3 linked regions of the Schizosaccharomyces pombe genome follow. The gene in region 1 interacts genetically with each later gene. Each region holds a gene or a part of one and is shown in the gene's direction. Other genes may lie near its edges. The genes, in order: rud3, toc1 and usp102.

What was found.
Region 2: mutations in rud3 (region 1) and toc1 together harm fitness less than expected from each alone (positive genetic interaction), as found in Schizosaccharomyces pombe (one large-scale study listed by BioGRID).
Region 3: mutations in rud3 (region 1) and usp102 together harm fitness more than expected from each alone (negative genetic interaction), as found in Schizosaccharomyces pombe (one large-scale study listed by BioGRID).

Annotation. Positions count from the first base shown.
Region 1 is NC_003423.3:737,544-744,283, forward strand, and holds rud3 (golgin protein Rud3), read left to right. Parts: upstream 1-2,719; 5' UTR 2,720-2,731; coding exon 2,732-3,937; 3' UTR 3,938-4,333; downstream 4,334-6,740. Other genes in the region: double-strand-specific ribonuclease Pac1, read right to left, coding at 161-1,252; U4/U6 x U5 tri-snRNP complex subunit Prp31, read right to left, coding at 4,420-5,976; protein Mdm35, read left to right, coding at 6,526-6,564, 6,627-6,740.
Region 2 is NC_003423.3:2,399,509-2,406,248, forward strand, and holds toc1 (Tor complex Tor2-interacting protein 1), read left to right. Parts: upstream 1-4,009; 5' UTR 4,010-4,072; coding exon 4,073-4,195; exon of another isoform or gene 4,196-4,237; coding exon 4,238-5,407; 3' UTR 5,408-5,824; downstream 5,825-6,740. Other genes in the region: eIF2 alpha kinase Gcn2, read left to right, coding at 1-1,946; pgs1 (CDP-diacylglycerol--glycerol-3-phosphate 3-phosphatidyltransferase), read left to right, coding at 2,245-2,729, 2,767-3,533, 3,630-3,886; rpl35A02 (60S ribosomal protein eL33), read right to left, coding at 5,996-6,113, 6,245-6,453. UniProt on the Schizosaccharomyces pombe protein: Component of TORC1, which regulates multiple cellular processes to control cell growth in response to environmental signals. Tor2 is essential for growth. Nutrient limitation and environmental stress signals cause inactivation of TORC1.
Region 3 is NC_003423.3:3,422,817-3,429,556, reverse strand, and holds usp102 (U1 snRNP-associated protein Usp102), read left to right. Parts: upstream 1-5,077; 5' UTR 5,078-5,325; coding exon 5,326-5,446; exon of another isoform or gene 5,447-5,499; coding exon 5,500-5,769; exon of another isoform or gene 5,770-5,826; coding exon 5,827-6,185; 3' UTR 6,186-6,335; downstream 6,336-6,740. Other genes in the region: plasma membrane glucose/fructose:proton symporter Ght2, read right to left, coding at 390-1,985; ESCRT II complex subunit Vps25, read right to left, coding at 6,363-6,551, 6,596-6,740. UniProt on the Schizosaccharomyces pombe protein: Involved in nuclear mRNA splicing.

The DNA of each region.
Region 1 (6,740 bases):
GAATATAAAATGCTAAAAAGACTTTAAATAATTCTTCATAAGGACCAAACAAAAGATAGATTGACTGTGACAGTAAGACCTTTTAACGATCGAAACCGTGACGAATTAATTCATCGTATAAAATGGGATTTAAATTTTTAGAAAAATAAAAAATGTGGGATTAACGGGCAAACTTAGAGTAATCTTTTGCAAGGACTTCGAGTGCTTGCATAGCTGCCCTAGAGCCCGCGTCTTTTTGATTTGCACCCCACGCACGGGCTACTTCTTTGCCATTAAATATGCAGGCAATAACATAACCCTCAGCGGAACCACCAGCACCATCGACCCAGCGATATTCGATGTGGCCCAAAGTGCTGTACTTGTGAAAAAGTTTTGATTTAGCCAGCTTATCGATAGGACGTTGAACAGTGATATTGGCAATCTTTGGTTGGAGAAGTCGGCTAACCCATTGAAAAGCTGTCTCTTCTTGTCCATCCAATATCAATGCACCGAGATATGCTTCGAAAGTGTCAGCAATGACCTTTTGAGATTTTCGAAGTTGGTCTTTTTCGGCAGAATAACTGAGGACAAGTGTTTTATCAAACCCATAGAGCCTTGCAAATTTATCAGCACTTTCGTTGCCAACAAATTTTGCCCGGAGTTTGGAAAGACTTCCTTCATCCATTTGAGGGAACTTGCTGAATATAATACGCGTAGTAAACAAATTAAAAAAGCTGTCACCAAGAAATTCTAGCCTTTCATTATGGATATCCAACAATTCATTCGGATTCGACTGATTTGGATAAATTTCATAAGCTCTAGAAATATGCATAAAAACTTGTTCCTTTAGTTTCTCAGACCGTAAAGGTGGTAATGGCGGGGGATACTCTCCTTCTTCAAACTCCTCAGATGTTGGTTCATTATTTTCTTGATTTTTTTGATTTTTTGGGTGAGAGGAGGGTTCTTCAATGACAGGTTCGTTTTGGCGATCATGCCTTGACTTCAACATTTCGTAGACTCCTTCAATATGGCTCCAAGTAGAACCAGGGATAACCAAATTCACATCATCCTTTGTTGAATGCTTTGTTTCTTCTAGCAAGGCTTTCATAGCAAACATGAGTTTACGAATTTTTTTTTCCAAAATATAATACTGCCGATTTTTTATGTGGCTACTTCGCTTGTGACCAAGAGACCTTCTTCCTCTTGATAAAGAGTCGGAAGCGGATGAGGAGGAATCTGAGTCCCCTTCATGATGCCTCTTAAACCGTCCCATAGGAAAATGGTAGAAATATAAAGTAGATTGTGAGAAGGAAAACGGTGCTAAAAGAGACAGAAGTATCCAAGAATGCTGTATTGGGATCTACTTAAAAAATCGGTGTCAAAAATGGCCGAGAATTAAGTACGGAACAGAGTTCCGGTAAAAATATCGTCAGTAGAAGAAATGTGCAGTACCAGGATACTGTTCTAAGGGCCACAACGAAAAAGTTATTTACCCAAAATTACTTTACTTTGTGTTTTCTTTAGAAATATACCACAAACAGTAAAGAACAATCAAGAAGTAAAAAATGATCAGCACGAAAAGCTCCGTGTAATATACAAATGCAAAAAATCTTGTAACAAAACAATCAACCAAAAACAGCTCTCCAATGTGAAGAACACCTACCCAGCTAAGAAAAAAATGCAAAAAAAATGTTCTTCGAATAGCTGAATATAAAAAAATAAATATTTTTTACAGTGAAAAAAGTCTTTTTCAATGTTATAATCTTCAAATCTACCAATTAATGATATCTGAAGCAAATCGAAAATGCAGCGTAAAATCGAAATGTGATTAAAAACCGTATGTTGACCAAACCAAGGACCAGCAATCCTCCTTATTTGAAAGAAAGCTCTATCACCGTAGATGCAAGACAACGCTACTTACTTTGCAAAAACCCGAATGAAAAATAAACAATCTGAAATGCAAGTTCGTAGGAACTACCAAACCGTCAATATGAATAAGAAAACAACTCTTTTCTTTAAAAAGAATATGCAGACTCGTTCAACCTCATATGTGTGGGAGTTTGTTTATGTTGGGCAGTGAGGGACGAGAAAGGAGAAGGAAGAAAGAAACACTCTTTTTCCAACTTAGCGGTTTATTTCACCACGTTCGTTGGTTAACATGAGCAGAGAAAGAATAGGGGCGTACCGCAGCACAACGGTCAACAAAGTATGTTAATGTCAGCAATACTACACTACGCTATGATACACTACGTTGCGTATCACTATATGTCATATGTTGGAATACTAGCTAAGATCCGTTTATTGATAATCACGGGTAACTATCCGTCTATATACATAGATACCCGTTAATAACAACTATTTAGAAATATTATAAATAGCGTTACAACTGAACCTCGTTCCTCAGTTCAGTTATGAGCTATATTAGTGATAGGTAACATTATAACCCAGTTAATACAATACCTATACTCAGTTGCTACTTATACAACCTGTGTATTGTAATATAAATAGACCATAAGGAAAACTCACCGCAGTTCTACGTATCCTTAAATCAGATACCAAACTGCGTAGCTTACAGTTAAAGTTGAATACGTTGCTACTGTTTATTGTAGTAACAAATTTTAAAGCAAAAGGTTTAGTATTTCGTAAACCAAGTTAAAGGAATATTATCGAGGTTTATGGAAATGTTTACGAAAAGATGGATGTTTTAGGGCCACTCTAGAGCTCACTAATTCAATTTCCCATAATTTCTGGAATGGCAGAAAATGCAGGAAATGAAACAAAATTGGTGGAAAATGAGAATTTACAAGAGGATTTAAGTCGTTTGAACTTAGAAGATGAAAAAAATGAGCTCAAATTGAATGAAAAAGGCGGAGTTTTGAAAGAAAACGATGAACATTTAGAATGTTCAGAATCTTTCAAGAAATTGGCGGAGAAGGAGGAAGCTTATCAAACATTAAAGAATTCTTATAACTCATTGAAGCAGCAACACTCTAATTTACTCGGGAAGGTCTCGGGAATTAAGTCAACGTTGGGAGAAAGGCTTAAGAAGGATTCTCAAGAGTTAGCTCAAAATCGAAAACGAATTCAAGAGCTCGAAAAGTCTTTGGGCGATGCAGAGGAAGCACTTAAGTTGAGCAATGAAGAAACCGTAACCTTGACCGCACAAGTAGAAAGCTTAACGCAAGATATAACAGATTTGAGACAGCAAAATGCTTCGCTTGTTGAAGAAAATCAATTGTTATCGACTCAATCAAAACAATGGGAAAGAAGAGCCAGAGATGAACATGAGATGCAAGAATCATTGGCCGTTCGATTGGCAGATTGTGAAGAGCAGCTAGCTAGAGAAACTGAAAGACAAGAGCAGTATGAAGTTGAAATTCAACGTCATTTGACAAATCAGCATCAACTAGAAATTGAATTAGAATCCACCAAAGCTTCCCATACTGAAAACCTCGGTGAACTTACCAGAAATTGGCAGAAGGCCATGGACGACGTGACTGAGAAATTCGCTTCTAAATCAAAAGAGTACGAAGATTTGCAAAATGAGTTAGATGCTACACAGAAAAGGCTTTCAAGGGTCTCTGATTTGGAGCACGAGGTGAAAGAAAAAACCCTACTTATTGGTAAACTGCAGCACGAGGCCGTTGTTTTGAATGAACATCTTACAAAGGCTCTCTGCATGCTTAAAGATGGAAATAATGCAGAAAAAATTGACAAACAACTTATTTCTAATTTGTTTGTCTCCTTTTTGACGCTTCCTCGCGCTGACACTAAACGTTTCGAAATATTGCAATTAATTTCTTCCGTGTTAGATTGGAACGATACGCAAAGGGAACAAACGGGACTTCAACGTCCTGGTTCCTCTGTAAATAATTGGAGTATTCCTCACAGTGCGTCCTCTAACTCTCTATTCTCCGATCATTCCTTTTCCAAAAGACGTTCTTTCCATGACTCATAATTTTCTTCCACACTAACCGATAATTTTACGTTTCAATTGAGCAATGGTATGAAAGATTTTTCTTTTTTCTGTAAATAATAATATCTTTCGCTCTTTTTATGTATCGCTTTTTTTTTTCTTACTTCACAACTTAATTAGGGGTTACCTTTTGCCGCGCGTACAAGGTTTTAGTATTTTTTTACTCTCTTTTCACACATTTTGAAGGTTGACTATATCATTCTTGAAGTAATAGTTTCATACGTTCATTTTGATATTTTGCCTTCTCCTGCTATGCCTAGCTTTATGGCAAAAGCGCTTGTTGCAATTTCATCTATTAGTCAATATTCTTAATTTTCAAAATTGTTTGTTAATATCAGTTTTTTCGAAGAATTTTAAAAATATCATTTTATTTTAATCACTCAGGTCATAGTTATGGTCTGTATTACTAGTATGCAAAAGCAACATAGCTATATGCAAAGTAACTAATCATTATGAAGACATTATTATGAAAATTTATTTTTCGGCTCATTAGAATCCTTCTTTATCTGTGTAAAAACACCATCACGAAACCATTTGTTGGCCTCTTCTACTTTTTGTTGTCGTTGAAGTAAGGGGTTCACTAGTTCAATGCCTTGAATAGGTGTGAAGGATAATGAACTTTGTAAACCGCTTGCAGCAAGGGGATTCTTCTGTGCCATTGATTGTAGTTGGGCCTTCCGCGCTTTTGGTAACCGTAATTTAGTTCGAGAATCAATTGACACTGCACGAATTTTTCCTTCACCTTCTTGACCAAGCATACCAAGACCTTCCGTTTCGTCAAAATTAAAGACTTCCGCCTCCTCCTTACCAAAGGCGACGCGATTCTGTAATCTCCGCAATTCCGTTACGGCATATTGCTCTTTCATCTTGCGAATTCTTCTTCCTCCACGACGACGTTTTGGCCTATCGTCAGGAACGGGTAGCGCAACAGTTGGTTTCTGTGATGGAGGTTCCAAAAGCTTTTCAATTTTCCGTTCAACTTCCTTTCGAGCAGATATGCCAAATGAGCCATCAGGATATTCATGAATGGAATCGATTCTTGCTGCTAAAGCAACTTTAGCAGCAGTCATTCGGATAGCTTGCTTTCGTACATCAGGAGGGGTCTTTTGAACAATTTCCGACATATACAAAAATCCATAATCCCCACTAACAGCCGGATTGTTAATACCAATTGTTGTCAGCCTCCTTTTTCCGAGCGCTGGTAAATTGCAAGCAGGAAACTTTCCAAGTCTAGTCAATCCTCCTGCAATGCCGATTAAATTGGCAGCTGTGGTAGAACCCACGACTGCAGACAAATTAGGAGCTACGACACTAATTCTTGATTGGACATATTCAATAATTTTTTGCTTTTCTTCACCCAATTGCTGAATTGCCTCACAGCAATTTTTAACGTTTTTTATCATTTCATCTGGAAGAGGCTTTCCCACTGTTGTCGTTGCTGTTGTAGCAATAACCATCACTGTAGCAGAAGGAAGAAAGGAAAGTTTGGTTTTGCTGTTGTCTAAATCATTTAACAGAGAACTAACAGTTTTGCAATAGTCAAAGGCATTCAAGACCAAACTACTTAATTCAGGAAATCGGTCATGATACCATTCCTTCACGAGTCTGTGCAGCCGCAGGATTTCATCGTCAATTTCCATCGCAATTGAATTAGAATCCACGATAAGGTGATATTCGAGATCATCTTCGATGTTTCCAGTGATAGCTTGTTTTTCGGTGCCTTTATATTTCTCAGTTCCTTCTATGATATCGCGAAGACGTGTAGAATTCAACAGCTGATAAATGTTCTCATTATTGTCATTAAATTTATTAGCAACTTCACTAGGCAATTTTTGAGCAGAATCGCTAATTTTGGTAATATCCAAATCGTTTTCTAATTCAGCAGAAATGCCATTTCCTTCCTCTAATTGTAACTCTAACCGCCTTTTCTTCGCATCTGGCCCAAGTTCATCAGTAATTGTAGATTCTGTAGTTTCCTCAATATCATCAAGATCAGCTAATAATTCATCTGCCAGTGACATTATATTGGTTAAAATCCTTGCCTAATGAAAAACTTTTTGTCAAGCGTAGTTGCCAGAAAAAGAAAAAAAAATAACAAAGCTGGTTCTGGAAGTCTAAGATTTCACTAAAAAAAAGACTAATGAATAATTCAAAAATAGGACGTAATCAGCAAACGCCAGGATAGTAATGTACAAAATAGATGTATGTGGCTATTTAATAGAACTGCAACTTTTTATAGGCTTAATAGCACTAATCGTGCAAATTTGAAGATTAATGCAAATAAATAAGTAAAAATAAGATTCAAATTCGCTTTATTGACAAGTTCCAAGTGGAGTGTCAAACTTGAACTGGCATGGGGTATTTTGCTTAGTGCTCTACACATACTAGACAACCACGTTACTACGGTCATAGGGAATTGGGATCGAAAACTGCTTGATTCATTTCTTCAAGTTTGTTAAATTTTTTTCGTTCATTTTTTTTTTCCTTGACAAGGAAATTGGTTTAATTGATCTGGAGAAAATTCATTCATTCAACAGTTTGGAAAAGTATCAAGATTACTGAATCCAACTATGTCGTCCTCTGTTAGTGAAGAATGTACCCCTGCTAAGGTAGAGTTTTCTTTATATGATAAACACTGTGGACGAATTTTAGCTGACTAAATTATGAACAGAAGAAGTATGATGCCTGCTTTAACGATTGGTATGCGAATAAATTCTTAAAAGGTGATCTCCATAATAGAGACTGTGATGAGCTCTTTGCCGAGTACAAATCATGTCTTTTGAAG
Region 2 (6,740 bases), 1.7 Mb from region 1:
AAGAAGGCCTTCGTCTTTTGTCCAACCCTAATACTCCTTATTATTTAAAGCTTCTGAAAGTTTTATTCGGCCAAGTGCCCGATCGTCATAAAGACTTTACTTACGACTTCAACCTTAGTGAAGAAAGTGGAGTGTTGTCGAAAGTGTCGGATAGAGGATGGGATAGTTTGTTAGCTTGTTTAGTACGTGATCATGTAGTTAAAGTATTTCGTCGCCATGGAGCCAAGGAACGTGAGTCACATATTCTATTCCCAAAGTCTTCTCAATACGATAAAGACCAAGCTTCTGTTTCCCTACTAGATAAAAATGGTACCCTTTTACAGCTTCCATATGATACGGTTCTTCCTTACGCGAGAAATGTTGCTAGAAACGCTGTGGAAGAAGAAAAGACGTACTTAATTTCTGACGTTTTTCGGGAAGCCAAAGGTGGAGGGAGACCAAAGGCTATAAAGGAAATTTCATTTGACATTACCACGAATTCTGATAATTTGGATTGGTATGATGCAGAAACAATCAAAGCATTAGACGAAGTATTAACAGAGATACCATCCTTGACAGAAAGTTGTATCTTAATTAATCACGCTGACATTCTTTCCTCCATTCTTGATTATTTACAAGTATCAAAGGATAAAAGACGCATGGCTACTCATATACTTGGACAAATCAACCAACGCTTAACATTATCACAGGTACGGAACCAGCTTCGTATTGAGTCATTAGTTCCCTCTACCACCTTAGACGATCTGAGTTTGTTTGATTTTCGGGAAAATTATGAAGAAGGTGCTAGCAAACTTAGAAAAATTTTTGGGAAGGAAATGCCACAGAAAATGAGAACTGCTTTAAATTATATGGAGCGAGTGGTTAAATTACTTCGAGCACTAAAAATTTCTCATCAGTTATACTTCATGCCTTTATGTGTTTATAACTTTGAGTTTTACGATGGAGGTTTGATGTTTCAAGCAATTAACTTGGCGGAAAAATCTGAACTCATTTGTGCTGGTGGTCGTTATGACAAGCTTGTACGCTTTTTCGATCCTCCTCTAATGAGAACTGCCAGAAAAAAGCATGTTGTTGGAATATGTTTTGCCCTTGAAAAACTAGTATTTTCAATGCTGCGATATATTCGATTTCACAATAGTAAGCAGTCAAGCAAGCATTCTCCTTCACCAACTTTAAAGTCTGTAGGCCCTTGGGCACCAAGGAGAGTTGATGTCTTAGTTACTAGTATTGGCAAGGATTCAATCCTAGAAAAATGCTCACTTTTGCAAGAGCTTTGGGCTTTAAATATCCAAGCGGATATAGTTTTAAGGGGTGCTAGCAGTTTAGAAGAGATTGTAACACACTATCGAAGTGAAGGCATTAATTGGGTTCTCGTCGTGCGTCAGAAAAATACCCAGATGGAACATTCAGTCAAGGCTCGAAATATTTTAAAAAATGAAGATGACGAAATACGCTTTGATGAAGTTGGGATGTGGTTGCTGGGAGAAATTAATGAAAGAAAAAGAAACGAAAGCATGTTACAGTCGAAACGTATATTAGACTCAGCTCAACAAGATGTTGCAAAGTTCGTTGACACCTCTCAATCCAACCTCGACGTACAGTTGATCTCGCTTAAAGACGTTAATGATAGAAAGTATAAATGGAAACACAAACAAAATGCTATGAATAAAGTTTATGATCTAGTGCAGTCAGCCATTCGTGAAAGCTCAGAAGATGCTATTGCTTTAGCAGTGGATTGCGACTCAGAAGCTATGGAAAAACTTCGTAGTACCACTACGCTTGATGAGGAGTCTTGGAAACGTTTAATAGAAAGTTGCCCAGCTTCTCAAAGGGAATATATGCAGAGACTGCAAAAGAAACTTGTCACCCTTGCAGAACAAGATAAGAAGCGGGTTTGGATATGCTCATTCAGGACAAACGAAATTTATCTTTATGGACTTAAATAAATTTTGAACTAATTAATCATTTAATTTTCATTACTCTTTTAATTAAATAGAAAAAATTTTGCTATAAATTACTTTAAATGTGTATATTTCGTGATCGGTATATTATTTTTTGTTAAGTAAGTTAGAGTCAATTTGATACTTTTTATTTTTAATATAACATGGAAGTTCTGCTTTTATACCATTTTTCTCTATATTTCACGTTCAAATTACCGTTGGATATTGACCTTTCTACTGCATGAACGGGTTTGCAAGCTCAATGTATCTCACACTAACCTAGCACACCAATTTAAACAGCCTAATGGATGAAGGAATAGAGAAAAACATATTTGTCAACTTGGAATCTCAGATTGACGGTGTGTGTCCCAAATTCTATGTTAACGTTGATGATATTGATATCATTCATGAACCTCCTGAGTTTTATCAACGCTTGAAAAAATTAATCAAAAAAGCTCAAAAAAGAATATTTCTATCAACGCTATACATTGGAAAAGAAGAGCGAGAATTGATCAATTGTCTATCAAATGCGCTAAGCAACAATCCCTCTTTGCATGTTCACATTCTGGCAGATCAATTGCGGTGTACTAGGGAAAGCCCTGGTTGTTGCTCTGCATCTCTATTAATGCAATTGAAAAAGAAGTTTCCTGATAGATGCGAAATCAAGCTTTACCATACACCGAATTTGCGTGGACTAAGAAAGCAATTGGTTCCACACAGATTTAATGAGGGATGGGGATTGCAGCATATGAAAATATATGGTGCAGATGATAACCTCATTATCAGCGGGTAAAGGCAAATGATTATTTACTATACTAACGAATAGAGCCAATCTTTCGAGAGATTACTTTACAAATCGAAAAGACCGGTATTATTTGTTTAGTGATAAGGGTTTAGCGGACTTTTTCTTTAAAACGCATTTTTTGTTTTCACAGCTTTCTTTTGAGTGTATCCCTCATTTATCCGATTCCTCAATTCAACTATCTTCTACGTCCCCGGTTATTCCTTTTACTTTGAAATGGAACAATTCATGTCCAAATCCTTTAACAAATCCTCAAGAGTTTCGGGTAGCAGCTTCTGCTAAAATTCAACAACTTCTTCAGGGGAATCGAGAGAAATTCTTGTCTCGCAACCCTTCTAAACCGTTATCATCAGTATATGGCTCTGAATTAATTAATCAAGCAGGTGATGACAACAATAAGCCATTTCATAAATATGAAGAATCTGCTATCGTATACCCACTTTTTCAATGTGTACCTATCCTTACTTCTGACGTACATTCTACTGAAGAAAAGGTCTTGTCTATAATCGGGACCTTGCTATCGCGCAAGGAGGTTAATTGGACCTTAACGGCTGGCTATTTTAATGTTTATCCAGCACTTAGAAAACAGTTGTTGAAATCTGAAGGTATAGGGGAAGTAATCGTGGCTTCTCAACAGGCTAATGGATTTTATCGATCTCCTGGACCATCGAAATTAATTCCACCAGCGTATCAGTATATTGCTGAACAATTTCTTAAAGATTCAAGAAAGAAGAAAAGAAATATTGATGTCTTACAATGGCAAAATAAGGGGAATACATATCATGCTAAAGGTAAACACTACAGTCTGTCGTTTTCCATTATAAATATTTTTTGGAGCACGGCACTTAAGTCATATATCTTTGAAAAATTCACTAACACTATTTTAGGATTTTGGTTGAGTACACAACATCACAAGCATCCTTTTTTAACGACGATTGGGTCTTCCAATTATACGAGTAGGTCTCAACAGTTGGACCTTGAATCCACCTTAGTTGTAATGACACAGAATGAAAAATTAAAGAGAAAATTTTCTACTGAAATTGAACTTATTAAACAGCACACAAAGCCTATGAATACCTGTCAGTTAGAAAAGGTTCCTATGTATGTGAAGGCTTTGACTTCTCTCATGAAGAAAAAATTATAATATGAATTTAATAAAATTTATAAATAAATTATCAAGAATTAGATTTTTCGGCGTTATTAAGCATGTAGTATAGCACAATACTGTATCAATTATATTACATCGACAACGGCGTACCTAATTCTTGCCAACGCCGATCTCACTGAGCAACGCGATTCGAGCGTTGACGAAATCTTCATAGTAGATTTAATGCAATTGCAATCGCCATTTGGCGATGGAATAAGTTGTGAATGTCTCAATATACGTGTTTTAGGAATTCCTAATGAAACCAAACATCAATGGATATTTGTTCCTCGTGATCTCATAAAAATTGTACGCTAACCTTAATGAAATCAAATATAACTAATTCAATAGAAAATTTATAGTTTATTGCAAATATGCAAAGCTGAAAATTGTTCAGCTGTTGCTTGTCGAGGCTGCAACTTATGTATTCTTGCTGTGCAGGGAAATATTGAAATATCCGAGGAACCGCAGAAATTATTTCAAGAAGAAAACGTGAAAGTTTACATATACGATTCAGCTATTTCTCTTTCTTCTGTAAGAGCATCTTTTCCTATTTCAGAATTGGGCATTCGAATGGACATAATTAAAGCGCGAGCTGAACCTCGGGAAGATGAAATACGGGCTTCATTTTCTTCACTAGTAAACAAGGAAATTAAGCGTACAGTCGAAGAACTTTTGTTGTCAAAGAGATCAACAAATCGTTTATCACTACTTGCGTTTATGCGTAATCAGCAACTCAACTATGAAGCCTACGAAACTAAATTGTTAGAAGATGCTTCGACAATTGAGAAATCACTAGAGAAGGAAGTGAAAACCATATATGATAGCAATATCGCATCACCAAAGGAGTCGAGTGATGCCATTGATGCTGACCATGCCATGATCGACGAAAGTCGGTCTACTCAACGTCGAAAATCGAAGCCAAAAAAGCATGTTGCTTTTACTGATGAATATCAAGTTGCCTTTTCGGACAAGCCCGGCAAGTATTTTAACCAGCCAATGCAGTATTCCAAACAGTTCAAACTTGACAACCCAGACTATGAAGCGTCTTCGGATTCGTTAAACGATATAGAAAATCTATCTACTTTAACTTTCAGATCTGATGAAGAACTTGAATTCGATTTTGACACAAACAACATAAATAATAACAAATCGGGCGATTCACTTGAAATGTCAACCACGATTCCGAGCGACGAGGAAAATGAAGATTTTACTAGCAAAGTGGATGCTATGGAAATTCACTCAGGAAGTTTACCATTAAATATTGATTCTTCTCCTATATTCACAAATCATTCTCCTTCGTCAAGTCTTAGCTCAGAATCCTCCTTTGAAGCCTCACCCTCTTCGTTTGTCGATCGGAAAAATAGATGGATCCAAATGTTGAAAAAGGCAGACGAACATAGTCGAAGTATCCAAGCCCGAAGTATGGGCTATGTATTAAGTGATGATCTTGACAATTCAAAAGCTTTTAGACCTTATAAACAGTCGTTTTTGGCTCAAGGTTGGAAGAGTTTAAATTGAATAGCGTCTATGTGTTTTATCTTTACAATTTAGGACTATTTCTTGCGCTCCTTTTTTTCTCACAAAGAATGCTTGATGATTTTGTTTCGTTGATAATAATTTTGCTATTATTTTATACTATTTTTAAATAATTATAGTTGGGGTTAATAATTGATTTGCTTTTGATTTGTATGATCGACAGCCGATTATAAACATGCTCGACAGTATTCGATCGAACTACCTGCATAAACAAGGTAGTATTCAGTACTAAAGGTTAGACGCCAAACTAGTGAATTTACAATACCTAAGTAATTGATGCAGTGTTGCCCATCAACACCCTAAGAACAGACGACTGAAATGATACTTCGTGAAACGATTCTCAAAAGTTACCTATACAAATTTACAGCTTTTGTTATTTAACATCAATATTGATTAAACTTAAATTAATAATTGTGTTTTAATGTACCAATTACAAATTCCTAGTGAGTAAATAATACCAAAAGCATTGATTACTTTGTATAACAAACGAGGCTTTCGATAAAATGGGATTCCCTAAATAAAATAAATCTAAGAAGCAGAAGAATTGTTGTGAACATAAAAATATTTTATTTAAACATTGGAGGGATAAAGCATGACACGGAGAGAGGCACCAAAGGTCTTGGGAGGAAGATTATGGGTGAAACGAGCACGAACAACACCAGAATTTCCATGAGGACGACTAACAGTTCTAAAACGTAATTAGTAAAGGTTTTGAATGTATTCGTTTAGCCAACAAAAAACGACCGTGAAAATATAGCATTAACGTTTCTTCATATTCTCCAAAGAAACGCAAGAATTTAATTACAAAAATAAACTTACCCCCAAATGACACGAATCTTGGATCCACGAACGGGCTTGTTGCTTTTGTAGACGAAGCAAATACGCTTGCCTAGGTAAAATTGGGCTTCTTCCTTAGAATCACATCCCTCAATCTTTACCAAAGAAGTTCCTGGGTGGATAACATGTTTGCTTCTTTGAAAAGAGAGATGTTTAGCTTTAACGTACAATCTGTGTCCCTGAGCAGGCATTTTGACTTGGTAAAGGCGGAACTCTTAGTGTGGTGATCCTTACCGTTTGCTTAAGCTGTGACTGCCCTTCTTGTGCTTGCAAAACCTAAGCTTGTGTTGGTAGTAAACACTTTCATAAATCTAGCATAGTGTAACGTACTTCATAATCTTATTGATTGCGATCATATAGCTTAATTCATTATATAATCTTAAAAAGATACTCTTCAATTTTTTAAAATTATCTCTCACTTACCAATACAGTATAGTGTAAAGTTTTTCTAATGATCAATATAAAGTAACGGGGACTA
Region 3 (6,740 bases), 2.7 Mb from region 1:
GTAACAGACTTACTAATATAATGAAAATTCAACTACAAATCACTGTATAAACATGACTCACTTCAACATTTACAAATATTTATTAACATTGGAAATACTTAGCTACTAAGCAACGAATCAACAAAAACTTAATTAGGTATAAAAAATATTATTTCCTATAATGAACACAAAAACACAAAAATGGACAAAGAATGCACATGTATCTAATATTATATGCAAACGAACATAATCTCAAAAAACTAGATTTAAGATGCACAGTAACTTAACAAATTATCAATCCAAACTTAGCTAATAATATAATATATAGACCCAACGAATCGGAACAACAAATTTTGGATCTAGCTGCCTCACACAATTCATAAATCATACAAAGACGTTTAGCTATTGCCTTATGCGTAATCTTCCTCATGGGAAGAGTATTGTGGAGATGAGTCAGTGTTTGAAGCACGCTCAACATACTCAACAGACTCACCACGGGCACCGCCCTTTCTGGATTTCTCTTTCTCAACTTTCTTTTGCTCAGAATAGTTAAGCTTAAAGTTACCAGATTCCCAGGGCTTGATGACAGACATATACAACTCATTAATTTCTTCCAAAGTAAGACCTTTAGTCTCTTTAGCAAACAAGAAAATAACAATTGCACCGGTCAAATTACAAGAAGCAAAAACGTAACCGTACTTGAATCCAATAGAAGCTTGAATGAATGGAGTAAAGAATGAAATTAGGAAATTCCAGAGCCAGTTGCTAGCAGTAGCGACGGCAGCACACTTAGAGCGGTAACGAACAGGGTATGACTCACCAACAATAACGTATGCGGCAGGAGCCCAAGTTTGAGCAAATCCAAAAATGAAAAGACATGCCATGACAATCATAACGGCACCAGCACGGGTATTTGAAGTACCGTTCTTATGATATAAAGCACGAGAACCGACAGCTGAATAAATGAAAAAGCAAATTGACTGCCAAATACCACCAATGATAAGAGGGTTACGACGACCAAACCTTTCCAATACATACATACCACCAAAAGTGCAGCCAAAATTAACTGCATCAAGAATCATAGCAGATAGGTAAGGAGAATTAATACCAGCTCCTTGCATAACTGAGAAACCATAGTAGAAGAAATAGTTGTTACCGGTCAATTGTTGAAGCGACATAACAAACATACCAAGGAAAGTACGATAACGAATGTCTTTACCGAAAATGCTTGCCCAGCTGCAAGGGCCACCAGCAAATTCTTCGTCAATAGATGATTTGAGACGGTGATATTCATTTTGAACTTCCTCACTATCAGGAAAAAGCTCAGCACTTTCAGAAAGAACTCTAACAGCCTCTTCATCCTTGCCAACTTGAATAAGATAACGAGGGGATTCGGGAAGGAAGAGAATTCCAATCATGGTAATGATACCCCAAAGGAGATTAATACCAATTGAAACACGCCACTGGGCAGTTTTATGAAGTTTGTGAGTACCCATATTGATACAAGCGGCAATGAAAATTCCACCAGTGACAAACAACTGATAAGTGACGACGACGGTACCACGAATACTGGGAGGAGCAGTCTCTGATTGATATCCAGGAGCCAAGACAGAAAGAGCGCCAATACCAATACCAGTCCAAATCTTGGCAACCATGATTTGTACCCAAGAGGGAACAGCGGTAACTTGAACGATGATACCAATGATATAAACAGCACAAAAACCAATGATAGAAAGTCTCTTACCAAAACGATCGGCAATGGGAGAAGAAATGATACATCCAAACAAGGAACCAACGTTAACCATACCAGTTAAAAGACCTTGACGAGCCGAAGACAAAGAATACTGGTCGGTGATCGGGTCATATCTATCAGCATAACGCTCACGAAAATCGCGCATACTAGTAACACCACCAATGGAACCGGTATCAGCACCAAACATCCAACCGGCCATGGAGACGAAAATTAACATAACAAGGGTAAAATTCTTTCCACGCTTGAACCCCATTTTGATAAAGTATAAAGGAATCTAATAAAGATGAAAAAAAACAAAAATTCTATAGAAAGGATGTAAGTGGAAAATAAAAGATTGAATAAAATTAACCACACGTCTATTTCAGTTGCAACACGTTAAGCAGAAATGATAGAACAAAGAACAGACAGTTTATGAGTTAGAGATCTTGACAAGAGATTCTCAATAAATAAAAATTAAAAGAAAAATTAATCTAGATTATGATTTTCAAGCACAGAGAGCTTGTATTTTCAAAATCGGTATAAAGAAAGGGTAACCAAGGAAAGCACAATGCTTTTATTGAGCTTTCTTTGGATTTCGTTCTTGTTTAACCAAAAAAAGAAAGGATTTTTAGGTAAATGAAGACTAAAGTTGCTCTTGCACTTAAAAAGCAAGAATAGGTCTAGGTAAAGATTTTAACAGTCAAGAGGGCAGCTTTTATACTAAATTCGGGAAGAGAAACCCCGACAAAAGTATCAAAAGTCCTTTGCTTTCAGTGAAATTTTAGACAGGATCGCCGGAGAGTTTTTGGTTATACGTCACAATATTACAAGGGCAACAAGGTAGTTAGCAAACTCTTGTATCATTGGACGCCGACTTAAAAAAACGCAGTCACACACAAATAAGAACGAATAAGATGTGGAATAGAATTTAAACGACGTGTATGACGAGGATCAACAGCTCGTTGAAAGTCAAGAACGAGGTAAAAATGTCACGATATCATTAATTCTCCATAGCAAAAAAAAAAATTCAATCGTAAAATGATACACTGTACGTAATGAAACTGATGCATATACTGGGGAAAGACACTATTAGTGAGGTAGAAAGCCGATAACAGGATGAAAAAACGACTTTCAATAAATGTGATGTAGGAATAATTCTCAAAAGTAAAGTAAATTTAAATACTTTGGCGACCGAGGCTGCAAGTTCGGACTGCTAGCAAATACAGAGTGTATTCCAACGTCAATAATTTTAGCAAAGTAACCGAAAAAACCAAGTATATTTCTATACTCCTCATATCGTTAAATCAAGATTGAACACAAAAAAACGTTTCCTGAGGCAAAAGAAGTAAAGTGTCTGCAGTAAAATTAATTCGCAAGGCGAAAAAATAATACCAATGGTGGCCATACGTATTGGAACCAGCAAATATCAAAGTTTAAAACACAGCATACTCTCATCGCTGCATGACTATCTCAAAGCTGGCAATAGAACAATTAACGTTACGGAACCATAATCCTTCAAATTTCGATTGCTTGCATTCTCGAGCTCCACATATTCGAGTCCATAACGGAACTAACCTAAATGCGGAGTTCCTCTAGTATTAACTAGTAACATGAATAGAGCATAGCCGTGCTCTTTTTTTTTAAGAAAACGTCACGCAACGTGTATCTTATCTCTGTCCTATCCAAGTCAGGATAGCTAGGGGCCCCCAACCTGGAGACCATACATCGACCGCGACACCAACCATCCTAGCGAGACTCCCTAACAAGAAGGTAAATATGGATGGACAATGAACCTTTTCAAAAAAAAACAGAATTCTCAAGCGATATATTCGCTCTTGAACAGTTCGGTGTAAAAGGATACTTCTATCCCTTGATTACGTGTACGCCCATACTTCATTCGGACTATAGAAGAAATATGGAGCTGTAACCCGTACTGCAATTGTCTGTGTTAAGAAAATGTAAACGCTGCACACTAAATCATCACTAATTCATCGCTAACTAACGTAGTCCCTAAAAAGTTATGAACTTGGTAAACGACTTTTGAGGCCTTGGGACCTCCTTAAATACGCCCAACTCATTACTAACAAGGTTTGCTATGTCCGTGAAAAGCGCCTATTGTACATATATTGCTCCCATATATGTGAAGCTTTTGCCCAATCATTGTAAGACAGGGTCTTGCTATATTTCCCTACCCCGCTCCATTCTTCCCAAGTCTGAGAAAAACTGTGGAGAAGCCTACCAATTTTGCCTAAGGGGATTTTGATCCCGCCTCTGCAATCTATTGGACGATAATAGCTATAACTACATTTGATTGGATGAAAGACATGTGATGAATGCTGGATGGTTTTGTTGTTTTTAAATGACCACCGATAATTTTTTTAGTTAGTACGCATACATTGATGAAAGCTGAAAAATTATAATAGGGTGAATAAATGAAATTCTTTTTGTGTCTTTTACTCTAATATCGTCTGGCAATTTTCTATTTTCGTACTTCGATAGCGCCATACATGTCTTGTCACCCGTTTTTACGAGCTAGGCTTAGAAATATCTTGGAATTTTTTTTCAGACATGTTGATGATTGGCTGATACTTTTTCCAGTTCTGCCTCCTCCACAATTTGCATCCGCGTTTTCCAGAGACGTTGGGGCAATAACTTTGTCTAACATTAAATTGAAATTACAAGGGTAAGTATTTGAATCAAGACTAACCTTTATACGTTGAATGTCTTCGATATTGTAGAGAATGCCTTGAAAAAAAAATTTTATTTGTGTTAATACAATCTAATATTGTGGAATAAAAAATGGTTTGTGACTGCTCTTCTGTTCTCGGCTGTTGTATTTCTTAATAGGACGGCTCGTAAAATTCGTTATTTGCGCGTCCAGTACACCATCGATTCCCATATTATCCACAGTTTACAAATAACAATATTTATATCATTTTCTTTACTTTGGGTAAACGCTCTCTTTCAGTAACTAAATCAATTGTTGTTTATAAAATTTTTATTCTTTTGTTTGCGCGTTCAAAATTTGTCTGCACGGTAAATCATTAACGCATAAACTCGGTTCTTTTACCTAGGTATCTCGTAAATTATATAAGGATTTGTACCATATTGTAACAAAATACAAGGCAAACTGAATTATTGTACAGATTATCGTATTCACTATTCAAGCATTCGTAACTTTTTCTGCAACTGAAAACAAGATTAATGAGCAACAACATGGTCAAACATAGCGATGCGTTATCGTGTTAAAACTACGTCCATTTATTGAAGTTCTTCCTTTCGCGATCTTTAACTTGGATAAGGAGTGTTTCTCTCCATTTGATATTTGGTACATTAGAGTACTGTATTTTGAAAACAAGCGCTTTTAGAATACATCCAACGAAATATTAATGCTGGCTATAATTTACATTTTGAAATTGAATGTAAAGTCAACCATTACGAGCCATATTTACTAAAACAAGGTGGTACCTGAAAGACTACTTCTTTTGGTAATTAGCTGGAATTTAATGCCATAAGCTGGATTGTCTTCCAATTTTTAAATACTCGTGTTTTTTGATTCATCATAACATTAGTGCCGAAATTCACTGTGAATATCTTTTTATATTTAACATCCAATGGATCCTCAAACAAATTCGCATCAAGAGGTTCAACAACCATCTCCTAAAGAGACAGACTCTCAAACACCGTCAGAGACTCTCTACATACGCAACATTGAAGAAAAAATTCGTCTTACTAGTATGCCACTAATTTAAATTGTTTTAATTTAATTTAATTTCTAACAATCGTAGTGTTGAAACGAATTTTAGAACATCTCTTTGGGTCTTATGGTAAAGTCATAGATGTTCAAGCAAGAAAGACTTTGCGAATGCGCGGTCAAGCATTTGTAGTATTCGACAACTTGGAGAACGCGTCACGAGCGTTAAAGGATTTACAAGGATACCCTTTGTATGGAAAGCCCATGATGATACAGTACAGTAAATCTAAAAGCGATATTATCGTACAAAGAGAATCTCCTGAAGAAATAGAAACTAGGAAAAAAGATAGGAAAAATAGGAGAGGTATAATCTTTTTTATTCTAAAATCAAAGACCTCACTTTACTAACCTTATATTATAGAAATGCTTAAACGGACTAGCGCTCTTCAACCCGCAGCTCCCAAACCCACTCATAAAAAGCCGGTTCCTAAACGTAATGTTGGAGCTGAGCGTAAATCGACAATTAATGAAGATTTGTTGCCTCCTAATAAGGTACTTCTGTTACAAAATATCCCTCAAGAAGTAAACGCAGACGTCCTTACACAAATTTTCGAAGCGTTTTCTGGATTTCAAGAAGTACGTATGGTTCCCGGTAGAAGAGGAATTGCATTTGTTGAATACGATTCTGATAGAGAAGCAACGGTCGCAAAAAATGGGACAACAGGTATGTCCCTCAGTGGAAATCAAATAAAGGTAACATTCGCTCGGAAGGCCTCGTAGTTGATTCTGCAACTATTTTAATTCCCTCTTTCAAATTTTTGTTGCAATAATCATCCAAAAGTCACCTTTCGAAATATATAAAGCTCCTATCATTTTCATAATTGATCATTTGTGTATATAAATTATATAATGCAATTTTGCAGGCCCAAAATTATGTATATCAAGCATGTAATTATGTTAAGCTTTCAGTACCTTGAACCCGCTATATTTTCCAGACGATCCTTTCATTAATTCGATATTTCCTTTTTTCATTAGTAGCTCAAGAACTTTATGGAGGAGTACTTCGTCTAAACAATCTACCTCTTTATATTGTTCTTGAAGTTCGTAAAATGTACATATAGACCCTTCTCGTCCCATATCGGATAGCTGTAAAACAATTAGTACTTTCGACTATGCAGAAAATGGCTTACCCATTTCAAGATCATATTCCCCCATTCAGATATAGACCTCCAGTATACCCAAAACACGTCTTTAGGATTTCGCTTTTCAGTCCATTCTGCTAGGTTTTGTTTCACCATATCCTCTACTATTTCTCGAAACACCGAAAGAGGCAGC